4 linked regions of the Macaca mulatta genome follow. The protein of the gene in region 4 purifies or fractionates together with the protein of the main gene of each other region. This does not show direct contact. Links are inferred from orthologs where the notes say so. Each region holds a gene or a part of one and is shown on either strand. Other genes may lie near its edges.

Region 1 (4,549 bases), on a different chromosome or scaffold from region 4:
GCTCACTGGGGGACCAGGTGATGGTGGGTGCGGAGCTGATTTAGCAGAGGACTTGTCCTGCCGGTAAGAAGCAAGCAGGATGTAGCCCTGGGCTGGTGAGCTACCCACTGCCTCTCCTCCCACCACTCTGGGAGGAAAATGGGACTTGGAAAGCACCAGGAAGGACAGGCCACCCCTCGTCTGTCCCCAGATGATCACTCCGGCCCACCCATGTGCACCCCAGCAGCTATGCCCGGGTTTTACCCATGCCGGCCCCCACCTGGGTGCTGGACTGCTGGGCCTGCAGCCTCTCCCCAGCCCCAAGTTTCACGTGTGTGGGGTCTCACTGAACCTTCCCTTCTTTCCTGACTGCCCAGTGAGACAGGGGTCTAGTACAGAAGCCAGGCCTCCAGGTCCCCAGCCCCCTGCACGATGGTCTGCAGGGGTCTAGTACAGAAGCCAGGCCTCCAGGTCCCCAGCCCCCTGCACGATGGTCTGCAGGGGTCGAGTACGGAAGCCAGGCCTCCAGGTTCCCAGCCCCCTGCACGATGGTCTGCAGGGGTCTAGTACGGAAGCCAGGCCTCCAGGTCCCCAGCCCCCTGCACGATGGTCTGCAGGGGTCGAGTACGGAAGCCAGGCCTCCAGGTTCCCAGCTCACTACCTGAGACCTGCCACTCAGCACTTCAGACTTCGGTCCACCCCCTTGCTCTGATCTTCTGACCAGCCATGTCTCTGGGAAGGGAGGAACCCAATGTCATTTCAGGGGTCCCTAGAGCAGGGGATGTCAGTTTGCCTTGTACCCCTTTCTCCTGTGGGGGAGAGAAGGCCACCCGTTTTTCATCGTGGCTTGAATGGAGGTGCCCCAGTCCAAAGGGGACTCGAGCAGTGGAGGCCTTGCCCATCAAGAGACCCTGGCCTTGATGTGCCCCAGTCGGGGAGACAGGCTGGGGCTGCCTGAGAACGGATCCTCGTGAGTGGGTCAGCAATCCAGACCAGCAGAACCTCAGGATGTGTGCCTAGATCCAGCCACATCTGAAGCTGGGCCTTCACTTTGTGTCTGGAGCACTGAATGCCCCTCTGCCTGGGCTGTCTGTATTCTTGGTGCACAGGGGAGGCTCCGAGCCCTGCCTGTCGTGGTTGTTGCTGTTCCTAACGCTCAAGACAGTGCATGCGTGGTGTGCAGTGGCCATTTGGTAAGAATGTGTTGCATGAAAGAAGCAGGAGGCCATGGAAGCCACCAGATGGCACCAGAAGCAGTCCTACCTTCCAGCACCCCCCACCTCCCCCAAGCACCCCTATTAGCCCCCTCCACCTCCCCCTAGCACCCCTCCCAGCCCCCTTCACCTCACACGAGCACCCCTTCCAGCCCCCTCCACCTCACCGCAGCTCCCCTCCCAGCAGGGCCCACAGAGCCCAGGGAAGGGGTGGTGAACAGGGGCACCGCAGCCCCAGTAGGAACTCAGCCAACCCACAGAGTGAAAAAGACGACTGTATTTGATTTACAATGAACAAGATTTACAAAAAGGGGTAGGGTGGTCTTGGTGGAACTGCTCCCAGTCCCACTGGACTGGGTGGGGCTCTAGGGCAGCCTGTCTGACAGACCAGGACCCCAGGATGTCTGGGCCCCGATGCTGGACTTGACCTACGACTCGACCTTTGACGTGGGGCCCAGCAGCCGAGTCCACCCAGAGTGCCGGCACCCTTGGGAGGCCGGTGAGGTCAGCAAGGCATCGTACCGCTTTTTCTCCTCCTCCCATCCCGAGGTGGACAGACGGACGCAGGATCTGGGAGCTTGCCCTGGGGGCCACAGGCCCTCAGATCCCCAGGGGCCCAACCCAGGGGCATGGAGGCGGCTGCTGGTGCGTGGGCGGAGGCGGAGGCCAGCTGCCCCCAGCGTGGCAGCGTAAGGCACATTTTCAAATCACTCGAGACTCGACAGTGAACACCCGATGCTGGTTCTGCCGCCGGAGGGAGCTGGGGCTGGGGCCGGGGCTGGTGCTGGTGCTGGTGCAGCGCCCAAGCGGTATTGCTCAGAGGAAGATGCTACAGTCTAGACGTTGGGTGGGTTCCTGCTGCACCCACTCCCGCATGGGGCGCGTTCTCCGGGGGAGGGTGGGGGCCTCAGCCACAGCCACTTGGCCTCCTCCCCTGAGGGGCTCTCAGGTACCTTGGGTACCTATGCCCCAAGGCAGCACTGGAGATTGGAGGTCAGAGGTCAGTGACCTTGTTCTCCAGCGCAGCCGCAATCTGCTGCAGGCGGAAGGCCAGCTGCATCTTCTGGGCGGCGGGGTCCTCCTCCAAGGCATTGATGATCTGAGGGAGAGTCCCATCAGAGCACATTGGGGGATCGCCCGGCCCCCCCCCGCCCCCAGGGGCCTGACCCTACCTCGTCATAGTACTTCTGTGTGTATTGGTAGAGCTGGTGTAGTGCCACGAGGGTGTTTAGGGAGTCCGTGTGTGCCTGCGGGGTGACGGGACGGTCAGGGCAGAAAAGGGGCTGTGGGAGCCCCAGGGCTGGCAGGGGTAGTGCAGGACGCCCAGGACAAGAGGCCTCCCCGGGGCAGCAGCTGGGGCCTTGGGCACAGGCAGCACTTAGGGCCCCCCATGTGGCGTGGCCTTAGACACCCACACAGACAGAATCCTGCACACACAACCATCTCAGTGTCTTCTTGTGTGATGCACGGCTGTGGGTGGAGTCACAGGGAGGGGGCGCTGTGGGCATGGCTGTGGATGGACCCACAGGGAGGGGGCGCTGTGGGCACGGCTGTGGGTGGTGGAGCCACAGGGAGGGGGCGCTGTGGGCACGGCTGTGGGTGGTGGAGCCACAGGGAGGGGGCGCTGTGGGCACAGCTGTGGATGGACCCACAGGGAGGGGGCGCTGTGGGCATGGCCGTGGGTTGAGCCACAGGGAGGGGGCGCTGTGGGCAGGGCTGTGGGTGGACCCACAGGGAGAGGCACTGTGGGCATGGCTGTGGGTGGACCCACAGGGAGGGGGCGCTGTGGGCATGGCTGTGGGTGGAGTCACAGGGAGGGGGCACTGTGGGCATGGCTGTGGGTGGAGCCACAGGGAGGGGGTGCTGTGGGCATGGCTGTGGGTGGAGCCACAGGGAGGGGGTGCTGTGGGCATGGCCGTGGGTTGAGCCACAGGGAGGGGGTGCTGTGGGCATGGCCTGGCTTCAAACAGCTCACACTCCCCACACACAGCACGCTCAATTCACATGGCTGGGCCCACCTCGAGGTCCCACCCCACCCTCTCTCCCCCTCAACACCATTTAACCCCTGCCCTGCAGCTCAGGGCCAGGCTCAGCACAGGTTAGTAGGAGCCAGGAGCAGGGGACGGCCGTGGGTGCGTCCCTGGTGGCCTCCTTACCCGGGAAATCTCTGCCAGGTGTGTGTTCATGTCCTGGTCGCTGACCTGCACCATCTGCCGGATGCCCTTGTAGTAACTGCAGGGGTGGGAGCATCACAGTGTGGGCAGCGGGGGACACAAAGGGGGTGGTGGGAGAAACCAAGGCCTGAACCTCCCCGCAGGGGGTCGAGGGTGGGCACGGGGGCCTGGCCTGGAGGGCGGGCAGCACTTACTCCTCCACCATCTTCTTGTAGGTGGAGATCTCCTTGGCATACAGCAGCTTGTTGCTGGGAGAGTCCTGTCGGGGAGAAAACCCAGTGATGCCTGGCCAAGGGGCCCAGGCTGGGGCCGCTCAGAGTCCCCCTGGGTAGCCTCCCCTGCCCTGAACTGACACTTTCATCAAGAAAAGTATAGGCCGGGCACAGTGGCTCATGCCTGTAATCCTAACACTTTAGGAGGCTGAGGCGGGCAGATCACCTGAGGTCAGGGGTTCAAGACCAGCCTGCCCAACATGGTGAAACCCCGTCTCCACTAAAAATACAAAAATTAGCCGGGTGTGGTGGTGGGCACCCGTAATCCCAGCTACTCGGGAGGCTGCGGCAGGAGAATCGCTCGAACCCAGGAGGCGGAGGTTGCAGTGAGCCCAGATCGCGCCACTGCACTCCAGCCTGGGCAACAGAGCAAAACTCTGTTTCAAAATAAAAAACAAACCAAAACAACTACTTATTTTGTGATCTGTAGTAAAACTCAGTTTCTCTGCTTGGGTACTGTGGGAGAGGGCAAGTGGTCTCGGGATCTCCCAGGCTCTGCTGGGCGCCTGTGCCCCCAGCCTCGGCCACGCGCCACCCCCTCATCAAGGGCTCCAGCCCAAGATGTGCAAATCCACACCCCAGACAAGCTCCCAGCTCACAAGATGCTCCTGGGGCAGACCCAGGCCTCCCTGCCCCGACCTGTCCCCACCCCACTCACGCGGCTCAGCTTATGCTCCGTGCGCGTGCAGGCGTCCATGAAGGTCTGGGCGATGACTGACAGCGAGGCGTCCACCACCTCGTGGACGTGCACGTCGAAGATGAAGTGGGGGTTCTTGAGGATGTTCACCCAGAACCGGAGCGGTAAGCTGAGGCAGAGCGGCGGGAATGAGAGCGGGGCTGGGCCTGGGGGGTGCGGAGCCTCCCAAGAGTGAGAAGTAGCGGAGCTGGGCTCGGCTGCGGGGGGGGGGGT
Region 2 (5,178 bases), on a different chromosome or scaffold from region 4:
ACAAATGGAGGGGGTTTTTTTTCACACTTTTGGTTAGACCTGACCATTGGGTCTGTGCCAAGGAAGAGGCATAGAATTAAAAAGGCTTCATCAATGTAGGGCTTTTGGCACGTTAGGAACTAAATCTTTCCCCCACCCTCCAGACTTTTCTATTAGGGGCTATTATAAAACCCCAAAGGCACTTAAGTGTGGTGCGCTTCTCTTCATGACAGGTTTGTAACCAGATTCATCGACTTGGATGGCCTGTCGTGTATCCTCAACTTTCTAAAGACCATGGACTATGAGACCTCAGAGTCTCGAATACATACTTCTCTCATTGGCTGTATAAAGGCGTTAATGAACAACTCTCAAGGCCGGGCTCATGTCCTGGCTCATTCTGAGAGTATTAATGTAATTGCTCAGAGTCTGAGCACAGAGAACATTAAAACAAAGGTGGCCGTGCTGGAAATCTTGGGCGCCGTGTGCCTGGTTCCCGGGGGCCACAAGAAGGTTCTGCAGGCCATGCTGCACTACCAGAAGTATGCCAGCGAAAGGACCCGCTTTCAGGTGGGTGTTCCCTTAGCCTTCTTCACTCACCCCTTCTTTAAAGTCTGCTCAAACACGTGCTTTTCCTGTCCCTGAAGGGGGAACATTACTTGAGATGTCCCCTTGTGGTGATTACTCACAGTGTGATTTAAACATTCCCTTCTTCTTAGGTTTAAGAACCAGAGAATAGAGTATACTTTCAATAGTTGATCAATCTGGGCCTTTAGATTTGCAGAACTTGAAAATGTGGCCTTTCATCCTACATGTCATACAGCACACATCTTTTGAACCCACCAAACTGAGTGTTTCCTGAAAATTTTATAGCTTGCCATTCTTGAATTAGGATCAATATGAATAATTTTTCATATTTCACTATATTACTCAGATGTAAAAAGCAAGCAGAGGTAATGAAGCAAAGGCTTTTGTATACGTGTATGTATGATGTAATAATTTTGAAATTAGAGTTTTTAGGACTCTTCTTAAGGAGAAAAAGGGTGGCTTTCTATGGGTCAGTGTAATCCTGACTAAACATAAGATTTTAAAAGTTAATTTTTGTGTATAAAAAAGTTCATAAAATGAGCATAAGGTTAGTAATGTTTCAGGCCTTTGTTTTTATATTTGTATTTTTGATAGACATTAATTAACGACTTGGATAAAAGCACTGGGCGGTATCGAGATGAAGTGAGTCTCAAGACTGCCATCATGTCCTTCATTAATGCAGTGCTCAGCCAAGGTGCAGGAGTGGTAAGAACCTTCCACAAATTAAAAATATATTAGTAAAGAATAATTTATAAAAAGTGATTATTATGTAGTCTAAAAACCACAAATACATATTTTATTGCCCTTTTATTTTCAGGAGAGTTTGGACTTTAGACTTCATCTTCGCTATGAATTTCTGATGTTAGGAATTCAACCTGTAATAGATAAATTAAGGGAACACGAAAATTCAACATTAGATAGGTAAGTCAGACTGTTAAGATGTGAGAAAGTTTCGGTGTTTTCTATCTGTGTAATGCAGTGCCTCATCAAGTGCTGGCCTGTGGTTACTTGTGCCCTGTCTGTAACATAAAGAGCTTGTATCAGAATGTTAGTTCAGCTAATGACGTCTTTATAGTAAGACTTTGTTGATGAGGGAAGCAGCACATTATGTAGAGAACTTAATGTGGGTTTTAGCGTTAGACCTGAATTCATATCCTATCCTAGTCCTGCCTCTTACTCCTGTGTATCCTGGTGAAGTTACTCAATTTTTCTGAATTTTGCTGTTCTTATAACTGCAAAAAAATAGTGCTGGTGGTGATGATGATAATGACAATTATTTTCCAAGTCTGTTGTAAGAACTGACTATAAAACCTATGGAATCACTTAGCCCCTTTGATAGGCATTCTGTGAATGTTAATTTCCACTACCTTGTTCGCTTGTTTCCTTGTTTGCTATCATTTCACTATGTCTAAGCTATCCCAACTTGCTTTCAGAGCTTTTCTCTACCACGTCTCTCCTCTCCTGTATATTCATATACTCCAGCATGCTCTTCTCCTTGATATTCTGTGAACATGTCAAAAACACTCTTGCATCAGGGCCTTTGCACTTGCTATTTCCTCAGCTTCGAAAGATCTTTTGCAGATGTCCAAATTGTTTGTTCCCTAGTTCCCTGGAGAGAGACCTGTTCTAACCACTGTGTGTACATTATTCACCTCACCTGCCATCATTTTCTATTTACTTTACATAAAATGTATCCTGGGTGTGTAGAATACATAGTAGGAGTTCACTAAATACGTGACTGAATAAATGAATGGCACGATCATTTCTTTTGTGAGCTTTAATTCAGCTGGAAGTTAAGTATAGGTATATGGGCATGTTTTTCTATAAAGGGAATCCATAGTGGAATCTGAACTTGATTGCTTTTAAATTTAGTTTTAATTTAATAATTGCCTACTATATGCTAGGCATCCTAGACTTTTAAATTTTTCTCATATTGTGATCTGTTTCACTCAGGTGATGTCTTTTTTTCTTAGAAAGAACGTAGTTAAGTTGAAGCATTCAAATTTTATTACATTGTTTCTTTTGAGATATCTCTGAAAAGTCAGGAAAAACCATGGTATTAATGTCCTCGGTCTTATGCACCTGTGTTTGTAGGATGTTCTACTTAATAATTTTTCTTTCATTATTTTTCAGGCATTTAGACTTTTTTGAAATGCTCCGAAATGAAGATGAACTAGAATTTGCCAAAAGATTTGAACTGGTTCGTATGCTTACAATTATTCTGGTTTGACTCATCAGTTCACATTATTTCTCTTTGTGTGTTGTAGAGTCCACATGGACCAATTCTGCCTAAAAGCAAAATCAAAGCTCTGTTTTGTTTCCTAAGTGGCAGGATTAGCTTCTGTTTGCTTTGAGTTTACTTTACACTGGGGGAATTGAGGAACTTAGATGTTTGATTTGATTTCTTTTTCCTATAAAATAGGTTCACATAGACACAAAAAGTGCAACTCAGATGTTTGAGCTGACCAGGAAGAGGCTGACACATAGTGAAGCTTACCCACATTTCATGTCCATCCTGCACCACTGCCTCCAAATGCCTTGTAAGTGTGTTTGTGACTCATGTGTGCTTCTGAATGTTTGGACATTGGCCAAAGGGTTCTGGCTCCTGCACAGTGCTGATTACATTGGATGCACACCAGGGATTCCAAGCCTTGGTTTTATGACAGCCCAGTATGTGTGTCTACATGGCTTAAGGGTTGTTACAAAATTTTTTCAATGAAACAAATTAAAATTTTGATTTTAAAAATAAAAAGTATGCCTTACAATCTGTTTAGAAAGGGGTTGAGGGTGCCTCTCAATCAAATAAATGATCATTGCATGTCAAAATTCCATACTTTGGGAAGCATTGGTGCAGATGTTACAAACATCTCTCTGGTTCGGTGGCTCTAAAGGGTGACCAGCACTGACAAATATTTGTCCTAGCTTAGAAACAACTTGAAGATTTTTTTTCACTCTTCTTTTCTTTTTTAGACAAGAGGAGTGGCAACACTGTTCAGTACTGGTTACTACTAGATAGAATTATACAGCAGATAGTTATCCAGAATGACAAAGGACAGGACCCTGACTCCACACCTTTGGAAAACTTTAATATTAAGAATGTCGTACGAATGTAAGTCTTCTCTTATTCTGCTGCCTGTGAGATAATAGTGACAATGTAAGATATTTATTTTATCCAACTTCAGAGTAACAGCTGGGAGAGCCGAAATGTTCTAGGGGTCAAATATGAGTTACTATACACCTGCACTATATCTAAGTAACATCTGGTCTTAAATGGGTTTCAAGCATGCACTGAGGATTTTCTCTGCAGTAGACTATTTTTGTACCTAGGGAGAATGCAGTTAGCAGTGGACCTTTTATATTTTTTGTAATAAATGCTCCTTGAACTCTTATACAGGTTGGTTAATGAAAACGAAGTTAAGCAGTGGAAAGAACAAGCGGAAAAAATGAGAAAAGGTAAATAATAAGGGCCTGATAAGAGAAGAGGCTGTGTTATTGGTTATTGGGTGACCTTGATTTCCAGATATTTTGAAAATTTACATTGATGTTTCTTGACTTGGTGCAAGCAGCCTTTCTTTTTCCATCTTTTAAGGGAATTTTGCACTGGGCTTCTTAAATTGAGCTATTTTAGTTGTCATACTGATTCTCAAATATCTTATCCTTTTATTATAATCATGTAAATATTTTGAAAAGCTTATAGCATTTGCTGTTCAGTATTCCTTAAATCAAATTTTCTTAACTACTAGTAATCCAAACCTTTCCCCTACTCCGTCGTGGCTCTTTAAATCATACTGGGTTTTAAGAAATGTAATAAGGGACTTGAGGGATTATCCAAAATTTTAAAAGAGAAGAACAGGTCACTTGGTTTCAGTAATCCAATTCTGTCCATGACCTTGATTTGGTACCAGTTATAAAAAGGGAAGTCATTCAGAAAATCAGTGACCATTGCTGAGATATGTGTTATGAAACATTAGCTGGCCAGCTATTAGTGTGTATTTGAGTATGTCTTTGATATTATCTCTCAGTATCAAATGATAGGAGAGACATTTATGTCCATCAGTGTGCCAGCCATACAGAGAAATGTATGTAATTTTCCTTCCTGTTTTAAAATATTAGCAAATTGAAGTTGGCGCCTTTGTGGAAACAGTCATACTGCCAGCCACCATGCTCTCACCATACTGGTTAACTGACTTCCTTTTCCTTTTCCAAGTTATTCACTCACAGCCAATGAAATACAATAGCGTTCACCCCAATATTTAATGTGCTGAAAAGCAGGTCCAAGAGATGCCTAAGCATTTCCTTTTCTGTCATCACATTTCCATTGAGCAGAAAAGCAGGGCCATAACTGATATCAGAAAATACCAAATGTGAACTAACTGCTGTTATGTTTCGAGTTCCTCATATGTATTCAGATTGCTCTCAAATAAGTGATACTGCACATGCATTTTTAAAAATAAATTTAAGAAACCGCTACAAAAATAATAGAAACATTGACTAAAAATCAGGGTAAAGGGATTAAACGAAAAAGAAAATAGTCAATGAGTGGATATTTTAGGAATACACTCTAGAGCATGGAGACTCAAGTGTGCAGGTTGAGGAGAGCACTTAGGATGTAAG
Region 3 (5,754 bases), on a different chromosome or scaffold from region 4:
GGCAGATTACTGAACGCTGTTTGCGCTTGGAGGGCCCTCAGCTATGGACCACACCTATGGCTCAAACAGGAATTACATGCAAGCATTGGCTAAACAGGTCACGTCTTTCTGAAGCATCCACTTTGACTCAATGTTTCAGGAGAAGAGACATTTATATAAATTGTGTTTGTGTGTGTGTGTATGTAGTGAGTTGAATTCAAAATATACACTAAATTTTAAGTAAAACGGAAACTTCAACAAAGCAAATTTACCATGTGGCTCCTTAACCACCCTGTTTGGGAGCATGTATTCCCTCTTCTCTGCTGTCCTTTGGTAGCTTGCCACCTTAGGAGTAGAGAAGTCACACCTCCATGGTTAAAAAGAAAGTTGGCCGGGCGAGGTTGCTCACATCTGTAATCCCAGCTCTTTGGGAGGCTGAGGCAGGCGGATCACCTGAGTTCAGGAGTTTGAGACCAGCCTGACCAACATGGAGAAACTCCGTCTCCACTAAAAATGCAGAATTAGCTGGGCATGGTGGCGGGTGCCTGTAATCCCAGCTACTTGGGAGGCTGAGGCAGGAGAATCGCTTGAAGCCGGGAGGCGGAGGTTGCGGTGAGCCAAGATTGCGCTGAGCCAAGATTGCGCCATTGCACTCAAGCCTGGGCAACAAGAGGGAAATTCTGTCTCAAAATTAAAAAAAAAAAAAAAAAAAAAAAAAGAAAGTTAATGACAATGACAAAGCTGGAATTAAAGCTGTTTTCAGATATCTGGTGTTCTTTTCATTCTACTGCCCAAGTTAGCTGTCTCTTCGCACCTGTAGCATGGTCAAATGCATCCTAATGCACTCTCAATAAATATGTTCAGATACAAATTCCATTCCGCATATTAAATTTAGGCTGAAGGGGAGAAGGTCAAAAGGAGTCATAGTCTGGAGATATCTTCAGTAATAGATGTATGGCATGTTTATAGATTTCATATTTAAATGTACTTTATAGGTAGCTTTCCTAGCATATGTGCTCCTATTCTATGATGGTGGTTAATTCAAATCTTACCCACCCCCTCTAATGCTCTCAGTGTGTACCTTTACTTTTAAAGGGTATCATTTAAAGATGATGGAAGAAATACAGTGTGGGTACTGTATTTTGTCCTGAGGACAAAATGCTAGGTATGACACAAGGACTTAAGACTATCGTCCCAATAGTGCCCTGCTACTGCTGCTGCTGCTGCTGCTGCACAAAAACACCTAGCATTTGTCTAGGGATTTTCATTTACAACCAAGCTTTGACACACATGATCTTATTCACTCCCCACAACAACTCTAAACTAGTTCAGGAAACTGAAAACAGCACTCAATTCAATTGCTAGCTGTATATAAGTGTTTTGGTTAAAGAGCCTAACAATCCCCTAGGGATTAAGTGGTGGGCGCCTGCTGCTTCAACAACCCTGCAGCATGGGAATAAAGGAACAACTGTATTTCTTCGGTCACAACGTAATCACGGCAACAGAAAGCACCCACTCTTCCCACTCTGACCCACACAGTCTGTCGAGGCAATTAATCAGTACTCCCGGTGGTTTTCCTATAGGATGCCAGTTCCCTTGCCAATCAAGTCTTTCCACAGAGTGTAGCAGGACCACACCCCCGAGAGGCCTCAGGGAGGGAAGGTGCTCTGGCCCACAGAAGTGAAAGCTGATACTCTGGTTGACCCTCCAGTGAAACTTACAGGCGGATCCTCCCGGGCCTCAGTTTCCCCATCTCTAAAATGGGCTACCCTTCCTTTCTCTTGACTAGTTCCCGCCCTGTTCTCGCTGGGCCACTAGGAAGTGAAATCAGTGCCTAACCGCAGCTGAAAGTCCTCTGTTAGGCTCCAGTCGTCGCGCCGGGCATGCTCAGTAGCTGGGGCCGGCTCCGCTCCGGGAGTAGGAAGCAGCTTTGCGGGCCCGGGCGGCCGATGCGGGCACTTTGAAGAATCACGTGTGTTGAGGCCCTCTTAAAGAGATAGGCACCTACTTTTCCCTCCACCCTAAACACCGCCCTGAGGGCGGCGGCGACCGTGGTAATTGCAACTGCTCAGGGGCAGGGCTTGCCCCAGCGCCGAGTAGTGGCAACGGCGTGGTTGCGTCGGGGGTGCCTGGGAGCTTGGAGTCCCGGGGGCCTGAAATCGGCAGCTTCCCGGGCAGACACTCTCTCCTTCAGGAAGAGGTGCCGCCGAGTCAGCGCGGGGCAGTGTGAGCGCCCCGAGGTGCTTTCTCAGTTGAGGAGAGGTGGGGTTACAGGGCACAGGTGACAGGGCCGGAGAAAGATGGAGCAGCCCGGGGCGGCGGCGTCGGGAGCGGGAGGCGGCAGCGAGGAACCTGGTGGGGGCCGGAGCAACAAGCGGAGCGCGGGGAACCGGGCCGCCAATGAAGAGGAAACGAAAAACAAACCCAAATTGGTGAGTGCTCCCGCAGCCCCCGCCGGCCTTAGGGACAGGGAGAGCCCCGGGATCCTCCTGCCATTGAACACGGGGGCACCCGGGGCCCCCTCCCAAGGATGACCGCGATCTCGCTGTGCAACTCGGGGAGCCGCTAAAGGAGTGGCCACGCCGAGGCGCGGAGACGGCGTGGGGGCGGAAGAGCACCCCTTCTCTACTTAACCCCTTTCTCACTGTAGTCAGCCCGGGAGGCGGTGCGGGAAGGAGAAAGGCCCAGCCCCAACTTGGGGACACCCCGAGTACTGGGTAGGGCTGTTGTTTGTCTAACTTGTGGGCGCAAGCCTTTGCGCGATTCCATTCTCCTCCCACCTCTTGTCAGTTGCTGTTTTGCCTCCTAACGCGTAGGGTCTGGGGCAGGGGAACCTCCCTCCTTTTTATTCCAAGTCCTTGGGAGCCCACCTACAGCTATGCAAATCAAGAAGAGCACTATTTATGCTCCCAGTCTTTCTACTTTACCAGAAATCTCAGGAAGAGGCGCCTACGTGCCTTTTTCCTCCTCCTCGCCTCTCTCCATGTGCTCTCCCAAGAAACGTTTCTTTGGAAGGGTGGGGGCGCGTGGGAGTTGAAGGCTGAGTGAGGTACCACCAACTGTCGAGTGTGTGTAATAGGCATAGTCGTACAGTACTTCCACTTAGTTGATTAAGAACGCTCAAAAGCAGTAGGCACAAACTGTGCAAATCTCACTGTGCTGATAGTGTGAACCGGTGGTAGCAGTCCATTTCCTGCCACTGAAATGTGCAGAGGAATGAAATCGATGAGGCCTGGTATTGCATTGGGAAATACTGGAGTTTCCTCAACTCCTCAGAAAGGTTCCGCTTTTTGTAAACTTTCTAATTTGGGTGGTGTGAGGGGAAAGGGTTTTCCTGTACAAATTCAGCAGATACTCCTTATAGCTGTATTCTTAGTCCAGATCTGAAGCACAAGCCACATGTTGAATGTATAGATTTCAGCTTTAACTACCAACTTGATTGTAATAGACAAGGAGAGGGTGACATATAAATAAAGCCGTTTCTTGTGGCATCTGGCCATTTGGTTTGGATCCAGTACAAAACTGTGGCTTAATCAGTGATTAAAAATTTAAGTAAAAAGTTAACTGATACTTTCCACAAATGGTTTGGTACCTCTAGCAAGAATCTGCACTTTTAAAACAAGTATGCTTTCGAGAAAAGAAAAAAAAAACAAAACACTTATCTCTGTTAGTAGTAACACCTTGATTGTATTCTTCTCTTCCCTTTAGCCATTTGTCCTGTTTCATCTTTTATGTTTTACTTGCTTTGACAAGGTAACTAGATAGTTATGAGATTGTATCATTTTCAGTTCCTAGCTAACTTCACTGTTCCGTGTTGAACATAGCTTGATACGGTAGAACAAGTATTTGAATCCAAGAGTTTGTTAATATTGACACGAATTTTCTTTTTTTGCTCGAACGTAACTTTTGAGCCTTATGTGATTTTACAAGCAGATGTGTCAGAGTTAACAAAAACAAATTTAGGAAGACATTGTGGCACATTTTAAGGCAAGCAAGTTGACCAAACAGTAAGATTTAGTAAGCTTTTCAGGAAAGAATTCATCTGGGACTCTTAGAAGTTTGCTAGTAAGATAAAACTTTACTTAGATGAAATTTTATTATTTTGAGTATTATGTTAATAATCTCTGAACTAGTCCTTAATTTGCGTGTGTATATGAGTGTAAAGGAGTTGTGGTGTGGGATTATAAAAGAGAGCCATATGGTGATAGAAATTATTTGTGTAGGTGATCTTGGGGGATAGAGGTTCTTAAACTCCTGAAATTGTATGAAAATATTTGAGTGTATATGGGTACATTTATTTTTCTGGGCCCCATAGCTTTCATCAGTTTTTCAAAGGTATCCATTACCTATGGAAGAGTAAGAACTATAGCATTACAAAAGATAGAAAGTAAAGGACAGTTGATTCCACTGTGTGGTCAAGGGAAATGGCATTGAACACATAGGTGATTGATATTGAAACAGATTCTTGTGGTGGTAAAAAAGAAGTTAACTACTCAATGTCTACATAGCTTAGATTAAAATTTCCACTACAGAGGAAAATTAATTCAGTCGCTCTAGTATAATGGATTCCTAAGGTATAAGGCTTATGTAGTCTGGTTGTTTTCATTTAGCTCCTCAGAAATCTGGAGAAACGGAAATGGAACGCATATTTTCTTTTCTTCTTCTTCTTCTTTTTTTTTTTTTGAGACGAAGTCTCGCTCTGTCGACATGGCTGGAGTCCAGTGGCGCGATCTTGGCTCACTGCAACTTCTGCCTCCCAGGTTCAAGCGATTCTCCTGCCTCAGCCTCCTAAGTAGCTGGGATTACAGGCACGTACCACCCCACCCGGCTAATTTTTGTATTTTTAGTAGAGATGGGATTTCACCATGTTGGTCAGGCTGCAAAGCATATTTTCTATGGAGAGGAACTGCTTTCATTTATATCCTCAACTTTTTAATGAGTATTAGTGAGAACTTTTGCAGAGTGGCATTTCAACATTATAATGATTTCTATTTAAGATTACTTAAATAAAAATTTAATGAAATTCACTTCAGTTTTCTTCATATAAGCATCCTCATAATGACCCTTTCATTTTGATTCTTTTAAAATAAGGCATTCCTGTCTTGGACTCATCACATTTTGAATAATGCATTAGTAGTAGAGTTTTGGATTTTATGTAACTATTTTGGTTAGGCCCAGATTGCAACATGTCATCAAACAGCATGAATCTTAGATTAATTTGTAATTTGATGTCAACCATGGAATGCATTTTGTTAAATTGAGTAGAAGAGAAAGCTCTGTAAGTGTTATGAAGGAACTACATCTTGAATCCCACTTATTTAAGGCAGTGACTTAACCATTAAGAGAGGCCAATATTGATGCATAACACTGCACCCCCCATACCACACGGTAGCGTAGAGTGACCTAACAGTATTTGATGTTTTTGCATTTTTGACTTTGTATTTCTGCGTAACTTCTGAAGCCTTTGGTTCTTCAAACAGTAAAGTCAAATTTGTTAATTTTTCTGGTTATTATGTAACTTCCTGAGTATTTGGTTCTTTGTTTACAACTGGATAAATTATGTTTTTATTTATTTATTTATTTATTTTGAGATGGAGTCTCGCTCTGTTGCCCAGGCTGGAGTGTGGTGGTGTGATCTCAGCTCACTGCCGCCTCTGCCTCCTGGGTGCAAGCGATTCTCTTGCCTCAGCCTCCCGAGCAGCTGGGATTACAGGTGTGCGCCACCACACCCAGCTAATCTTTTTTGTATTTTTGTAGAGATGGGGTTTCACCATA
Region 4 (5,721 bases):
CCGACCTCTTTGGGCCTCAGTTTCCTTACTTGTCAAAGGAGGATAAGAATTGAACATACTTCATAGGATGGCATGAAATGACACTTGCCAAATGTCCGGCACAGGTAGGTGCTCAGTAAATGTGAGGTCAAGGCTTTGGGTGGAGGAGTTCAGGCTGAGGGCAAGGGCTCTTGGGATCCGATATTTCAGATGAAAGAAAGTGGGCCAAGGCTGGGCGCAGTGGCTCACATCTATAATCCCAGCACTTTGGGAGGCCAAGGCGAGTGGATCACCTGAGTTCAGGAGTTTGAGACCAGCCTGGCCAACATGGTGAAACCCCGTCTCTACTAAAAATACAAAAATTAACTGGGCGTGGTGGCAGGTGCCTCTAATCCCAGCTACTCGGGAGGCTAAGACAGGAGAATCGCTTGAACCTGGGAGGTGGAGGTTGCAGTGAGCTGAGATCGCGTCACTGCACTCCATCCTGGGCAAGACTCCATATGGGAAAAAAAAAAAAAAAAAAAAAAACATAAGGAAGAGAGCAGAGGACAGGAGATGCATGCAGAACTAAGGACTTCGGGAGCCACACACCAGGGCCCCGTGCACCCTGCCAAGCCACTCCAAGGGGAAAGACTGTATCTCTCCCCTTCACTCAGCCATCCACAAACATCCCACACACCCAAGTCCAGAACCCCAAGCAGGGAGGCAGCCCCTGGTGATGACTGCGCAGGGAGCTGAGCAACCACATGAGGGCAGTGGAGACGTGATCAGGACCGCACAGGATTTGGCCTTAGGATGGGGGTGGGCTGTGAGAAAATGGGGACAGGGGTGAGGCCAGGGGGCCTTGGAGTAGGCAGAGGCTGGAGAGTGGTCACCTGTCCACACATTCCCCATTCATGTCACATGTGGTATTCGTCATCAATGCAAGCATTTGTTCTTTTATTCATTTCTTCACTTTGTTTCTTCTTGTAAGTCAGCCCCTCTTCCGTCCATCCTTCCTTCTTTCCTTCCTCTCTTCCTCACTCTGCTCTTCTCCTCCTTGTCCTTTTGGTTTGTCTGGCCAGGCGATCAACTGGACATACCATCCTGAGCCACAGCTGGGTGCCAGCCCGAGAGAGGCACTCCTCTAGGGGGTACAAGTGAGCCTTGACTCTTGCCCTTGAAGGGTTCAGGGCAGCAGGCCACGGTGCTGGGCTCCCCACAGATCTGGGCCTGGGGTTGGTGGGGCCTAAAAGGGCCTAAGTCACCCACAGGTTGCAAGTCCTGAGAAGCCTCAGTAAACACTAAAAACAGTAAACAGTACCCTGGCCAGGCAGACTGTGTGACCTGGTCCACCACTCTAAAAATAAATTCCAGGAAAACAGTACAGTCCCAGGTCCACAAATGTCTGAGATTCAGGGACATTCCCTGCCGACTAGAGCCAATTTCTGTGGCCTGGTGACTAAGTTCCCTCTTGCAAGAGCGTAAGCATAGTGGGGGGTGGGGGGCTCAGGGGCGGTGAGGCTGGGGCAGATCGAATCCTGGCTGTGTCCTGCTGGCCTAAGACACCCCTCTGCCTCTCTCGGAGGTTCAGTTCCCAAATCTGTAAAATGAGGGGAAGCAGGTCATCTGCTTGGTTGACGTCATGGTCTGAGAGCTGAACAAAATTGCAATTGCACAGATGAGGTGTGATGGAGGGAGACAGCCTGGCTTTGGGGTCACACCTGGATCCAAATTCTAGTTCAGCCTCTTACTAGTTGTGGATCTTAGTCAACAACTTAGCCTCTCTGGGTCTCAGGCTCCTCATCTGTGAAATGGAGCTAAGAGTCCCTACCTCCTAGGGAACAGTGCCTACATGTGGCTTGCAATCCATTAATGGGTGCTGTTATTATTAGGAAATGTTCAGTGAAACTGTACAGCATGACAGACATCAAGTGTGTCATTACAGAGATTATCCCTATAGCAACCAAGGCCAAACGCCTCTGCCTGACTCTCGGCTCCCTCCACCCCCAGTCTGGCCCCACCTGCCTTCCAGCCTTGCCACCCAAGGCCTGATGACAACAGCAATGGGGAGGATGACGCTGACAGCTGATCCGAGGGGGTGGGGCCCCTCTCACCACTCCTTGGGGCGGGGAGCCCTGCTCAGGAGCTACCTGCCCAGCCCGGTGTCAAGTCACTGCCCAGCCCTATGGCAGTTTCGGGGAGGAAGGGGCACCTGGAAGGCAGAGCTGTCCTGGGGAGGCTCCTTCCCTCCAAGTGGGGCTCCATCCAGCCTGTGGACCACAGCCTGGAGCCAGGCAGAGGAGTTAAGGAGCTGGACTCTGCTTCTCCACGTAGTGACTCTTGCCCTGGCTGCCTCTTTAGACCACAGTAAGTTTAAAGGAGGTTGAAGGTGCATTTTCACGTGCCTGACTTGGAACTCCATAAGGGGTGATGTCATGACCAGCATAAATTGGGGGTAACCTAATGATGTCTGCCCCCTATTCTTTTAAGTTTCAGTATAAACACTCAGTTCAAGATCTGGGAAGACCCTTGTGCCCAATTTTTTTTTTTTTTTTTTTTGAGACGGAGTCTCACTCTGTCACCCAGGCTGGAGTGCAGTGGCCGGATCTCAGCTCACTGCAAGCTCCGCCTCCCGGGTTCACGCCATTCTCCTGCCTCAGCCTCCCGAGTAGCTGGGACTACAGGCGCTCGCCACCTCGCCCGGCTAGTTTTTTGTATTTTTTAGTAGAGACGGGGTTTCACCGGGTTAGCCAGGATGGTCTCGATCTCCTGACCTTGTGATCCGCCCATCTCGGCCTCCCAAAGCCTTGTGCCCATTTTTAAAAGATTTCAACTCTGGCCATTAGGAGAAGTGGAGGGATCAGGTGACAATGAGTTCCCAGTCCAATGCTGGATTTACTGCTGGCATCCAAAGTGCTCCACTGGGCAAGCACCAGCTCCTCTTGCTGCACCACTGTGCAAGGGAGACTCACCCTCTGCGGGGGCAGGGGGGCAGCATTCTGCTCCGGCCTCCACAGCCTCGCCCCTGCCGCTCTCTCCTGTGGAACACCTTCTCCCTCCCCCATCTGACTGTGTCTCACTTTTTCCTCAAGACTCTGAAGGGCTTCCTGACTCACTCAACCTGGGCGAGGAGCTCCTTTCCCCTACTCCTGTCCCGCTGCCTGTCCCTACCCCCGTTGTAGTTCTGATCACACTGATGTCCTGCCTGTCTACTATTCTAGGCTGTGGGCTTCTCAAGGCAGGGCCTAGATTTTATCTTGAACAGTTCAGGGTCCCCAGGCCCTTGGGCACCAGGAGGACGTCTCATGGTGCAATAATAAGAAACACACTTTATAGAGGGAAGGTTCCATCTCTTTCCCTAGATCGTGGCCAGCCAGGGTGTCAGGTGGCTGCCCACCTTCAGCAAAACTTCCTGGTGCTGGCGGAGGGAGGCAGGCCAGGCCTGGTAGGGCCAGTGAAGGGGGTCATCCGCTTCCCACCTGGCATGAAACGCCTGTGTTGTGCTCCGTCCTAAGCCCCCTGGGGAAATGCACCATTCATTCACTCATTCAGTAAAGGTCACTGGCTCCTGCCTGGGATCTGGGACCCAGCCCGTGAGCACACCCCCGCCCACACTGTCATGGTCCCGCTGTTTGTCTTCTCCCTTCCGACCTCCCATGGCCCCAGCGCGGCCCGCTCACAGTAGGTGTTCGGGCAGCGTTTCTTCAAGGACCTAGACGGCCTTGAGAGGAAGGGCCCCAGCCCAGCCGCCCGGGCGTCTCACCTGGCTCTCGGGGCGCCCGGCTCGCACTTCCTCCCGCCGCCCCGCCCCTTCCACATTCCTGCCCCGCCGGGCCTGCCCCGCCGGGCCGGCCCCGCGCAGTCTGGGTCCCTGCGCTGCAGCCGCCCGCCCGCCCTCTCCGCGCCCGACCCCGGGATGACGGCGGCCCAGGCCGCGGGCGAGGAGGCGCCACCAGGCGTGCGGTCGGTCAAGGTGGTCCTGGTGGGCGACGGCGGCTGCGGGAAGACGTCGCTGCTGATGGTCTTCGCCGATGGGGCCTTCCCCGAGGTGAGTGCCCGGCGTCTCCGCCTCGCCCGGTTCCGCTCCCGCGCCCGGGTGTGCAGGTCCGTGCCGGACGGCCCAGGCTGTGCGTCTGCCCCGGCCTCCGAGGGGTCTCCCAGCGGGGCCTGGAGTCCAGGGCAGAGTTCTTCTCCCCCAGCCAGTGGGAATGAAGGCCTCAGTGATGTTATCTGTAAAGCGGGAGGAATGGCACCTACCGGGGAGGGGTGTCACAAGGACCGAGTGAGGCGACCTGGGTGCACACAAGATCCTAAGACAGCACTTGGCCGCACAATTCCGCCAAGAGGGCCTGAGGGCTTGGGAGCCAGACTGCCTAGGTTAAAATTATGGCTTTGCCACTTACAGCTGTGTGCCCTTGCGAGCGTCCCCTAACCCCGCTGTGCCCGTGTCCCTAACTACATCACAGGTGAGTGACAGCGCCCACCGCACAGGGTCACTGTGACAGTGAGTTAATAGACGTCAAGCACTCAGCCCCGGGCTGCGCACAGGAAGTACTCACGGAGAGTTGGCACATGTCACTCTTGGGAAACATATTCTCCCCTCCAGCTCTTGCCGCTGGAATGCATGTGCCATGGGCTCTTCCTTGGAGGGTCAGAGCACACCAGCTGTAGCCTCAGCTGCTGGGACCGCGTCTCTGCTCTCCTCTTATGAGCCCCGTGCCCTTTTGTAACCTGCTTAGCTTCTCTGAGCCTCAGTTTCCTCACAACAACCCCATGGGGTAGAGGGACTGTAGGGCGGTGGTGAGGTGGAGCCCAGGGAAGGCTGATAGGTAGCTCCGGTGCGGTACCTGGCACGTCCTTGGCGCTGTAGGCATGCCCACTGTTAATCCTTCCTGACATGCTGACTGCCCAGGCAGACTCCACAGGCACCAGGTGGCCCCTGCTCTGCCACCTCTCAGCTCTGTTGTCCTGGGAGTCCATGGAGTTGCTCCCAGCATCTCTTTTTTTTTTTTTTTTTTTTTTTTGAGACAGAGTCTCACTGTCACCCAGGCTGGAGTGATATTGGCACAGTCTCGGCTCACTGCAACCTCCGCCTCTCCGGCTCAAGTGATTCTCTTGCCTCAGCCCCCTGAGAAGCTGGGATTGTAGGCACCCAACACCACGCCTGGCTAATTTTTTTTATTATTTTATTTTTGAGACGGAGTCTCGCTCTATCACCCAGGCTAGAGTGCAGTGGAGCAATCTCGACTCACTGCAACCTCCGCCTCCCAGGTTCAAGTGATTCTCCCACCTCAGCCTCCCGAGTAGCTGGGACTACAGGTGCGTGCTACCGTGCCCAGCTAATTTTTGTATTTTTTTTAGTAGAGACAGCATTTCACCATGTTGGCCAGAATGGTCTCCATCTCTTGACCTCGTGATCCGCCCACCTTGGCCTCCCAAAGTGCTGGGATTACAGGTGTGAGCCACCTCGCCTGGCCAATTTTTTTATTTTTAGTAGAGACGGGGTTTTGCCTTATTGATCAGGCTGGTCTCGAACTCCTGGCCTCAAGCGATCTGCCCGCCTCAGCCTCCCAAAGTGCTGGAAATACCAGCTTAAGCCACCGCAACTGGCATTCTTCCTTCTTTTCTTCCCAGCATCCTCAAAACCCCTGGGGTTGTACAGGTGCTGGGGCATCTGAGCACAAGCAGGACGGGTCGGGCCTACCCTGGTTCTTATCACACTGTAGTTCTTATCACGATGATGTCCTGCCTGTCTCCCAC

What was found.
Region 1: the proteins of RHOD (region 4) and PLXNB2 purify together in Homo sapiens (affinity purification with mass spectrometry; 3 studies listed by BioGRID and IntAct, counting the BioPlex papers as one, with this or other methods). This does not show direct contact. The link is inferred for Macaca mulatta from reciprocal best matches to the Homo sapiens genes RHOD and PLXNB2.
Region 2: the proteins of RHOD (region 4) and DAAM1 purify together in Homo sapiens (affinity purification with mass spectrometry; 3 studies listed by BioGRID and IntAct, counting the BioPlex papers as one, with this or other methods). This does not show direct contact. The link is inferred for Macaca mulatta from reciprocal best matches to the Homo sapiens genes RHOD and DAAM1.
Region 3: the proteins of RHOD (region 4) and DIAPH2 purify together in Homo sapiens (co-immunoprecipitation; 3 studies listed by BioGRID and IntAct, with this or other methods). This does not show direct contact. The link is inferred for Macaca mulatta from reciprocal best matches to the Homo sapiens genes RHOD and DIAPH2.

What each region holds. Positions count from the first base shown.
Region 1 is NC_133415.1:1,171,161-1,175,709, reverse strand, and holds the end of PLXNB2 (plexin-B2), read right to left. Parts: intron 4,446-4,549; coding exon 4,298-4,445; intron 3,627-4,297; coding exon 3,562-3,626; intron 3,426-3,561; coding exon 3,350-3,425; intron 2,441-3,349; coding exon 2,366-2,440; intron 2,293-2,365; coding exon 2,188-2,292; 3' UTR 1,456-2,187; downstream 1-1,455.
Region 2 is NC_133412.1:132,442,636-132,447,813, forward strand, and holds part of DAAM1 (disheveled-associated activator of morphogenesis 1), read left to right. Parts: intron 1-212; coding exon 213-546; intron 547-1,158; coding exon 1,159-1,269; intron 1,270-1,381; coding exon 1,382-1,485; intron 1,486-2,697; coding exon 2,698-2,764; intron 2,765-2,986; coding exon 2,987-3,104; intron 3,105-3,534; coding exon 3,535-3,673; intron 3,674-3,958; coding exon 3,959-4,017; intron 4,018-5,178. UniProt on the Homo sapiens protein: Binds to disheveled (Dvl) and Rho, and mediates Wnt-induced Dvl-Rho complex formation. May play a role as a scaffolding protein to recruit Rho-GDP and Rho-GEF, thereby enhancing Rho-GTP formation. Can direct nucleation and elongation of new actin filaments.
Region 3 is NC_133426.1:103,641,927-103,647,680, forward strand, and holds the start of DIAPH2 (protein diaphanous homolog 2), read left to right. Parts: upstream 1-2,062; 5' UTR 2,063-2,279; coding exon 2,280-2,411; intron 2,412-5,754. UniProt on the Homo sapiens protein: Could be involved in oogenesis. Involved in the regulation of endosome dynamics.
Region 4 is NC_133419.1:7,349,221-7,354,941, reverse strand, and holds the start of RHOD (rho-related GTP-binding protein RhoD), read left to right. Parts: upstream 1-2,152; 5' UTR 2,153-3,877; coding exon 3,878-4,009; intron 4,010-4,366; coding exon of another isoform or gene 4,367-4,427; intron 4,428-5,721. UniProt on the Homo sapiens protein: Involved in endosome dynamics. May coordinate membrane transport with the function of the cytoskeleton. Involved in the internalization and trafficking of activated tyrosine kinase receptors such as PDGFRB.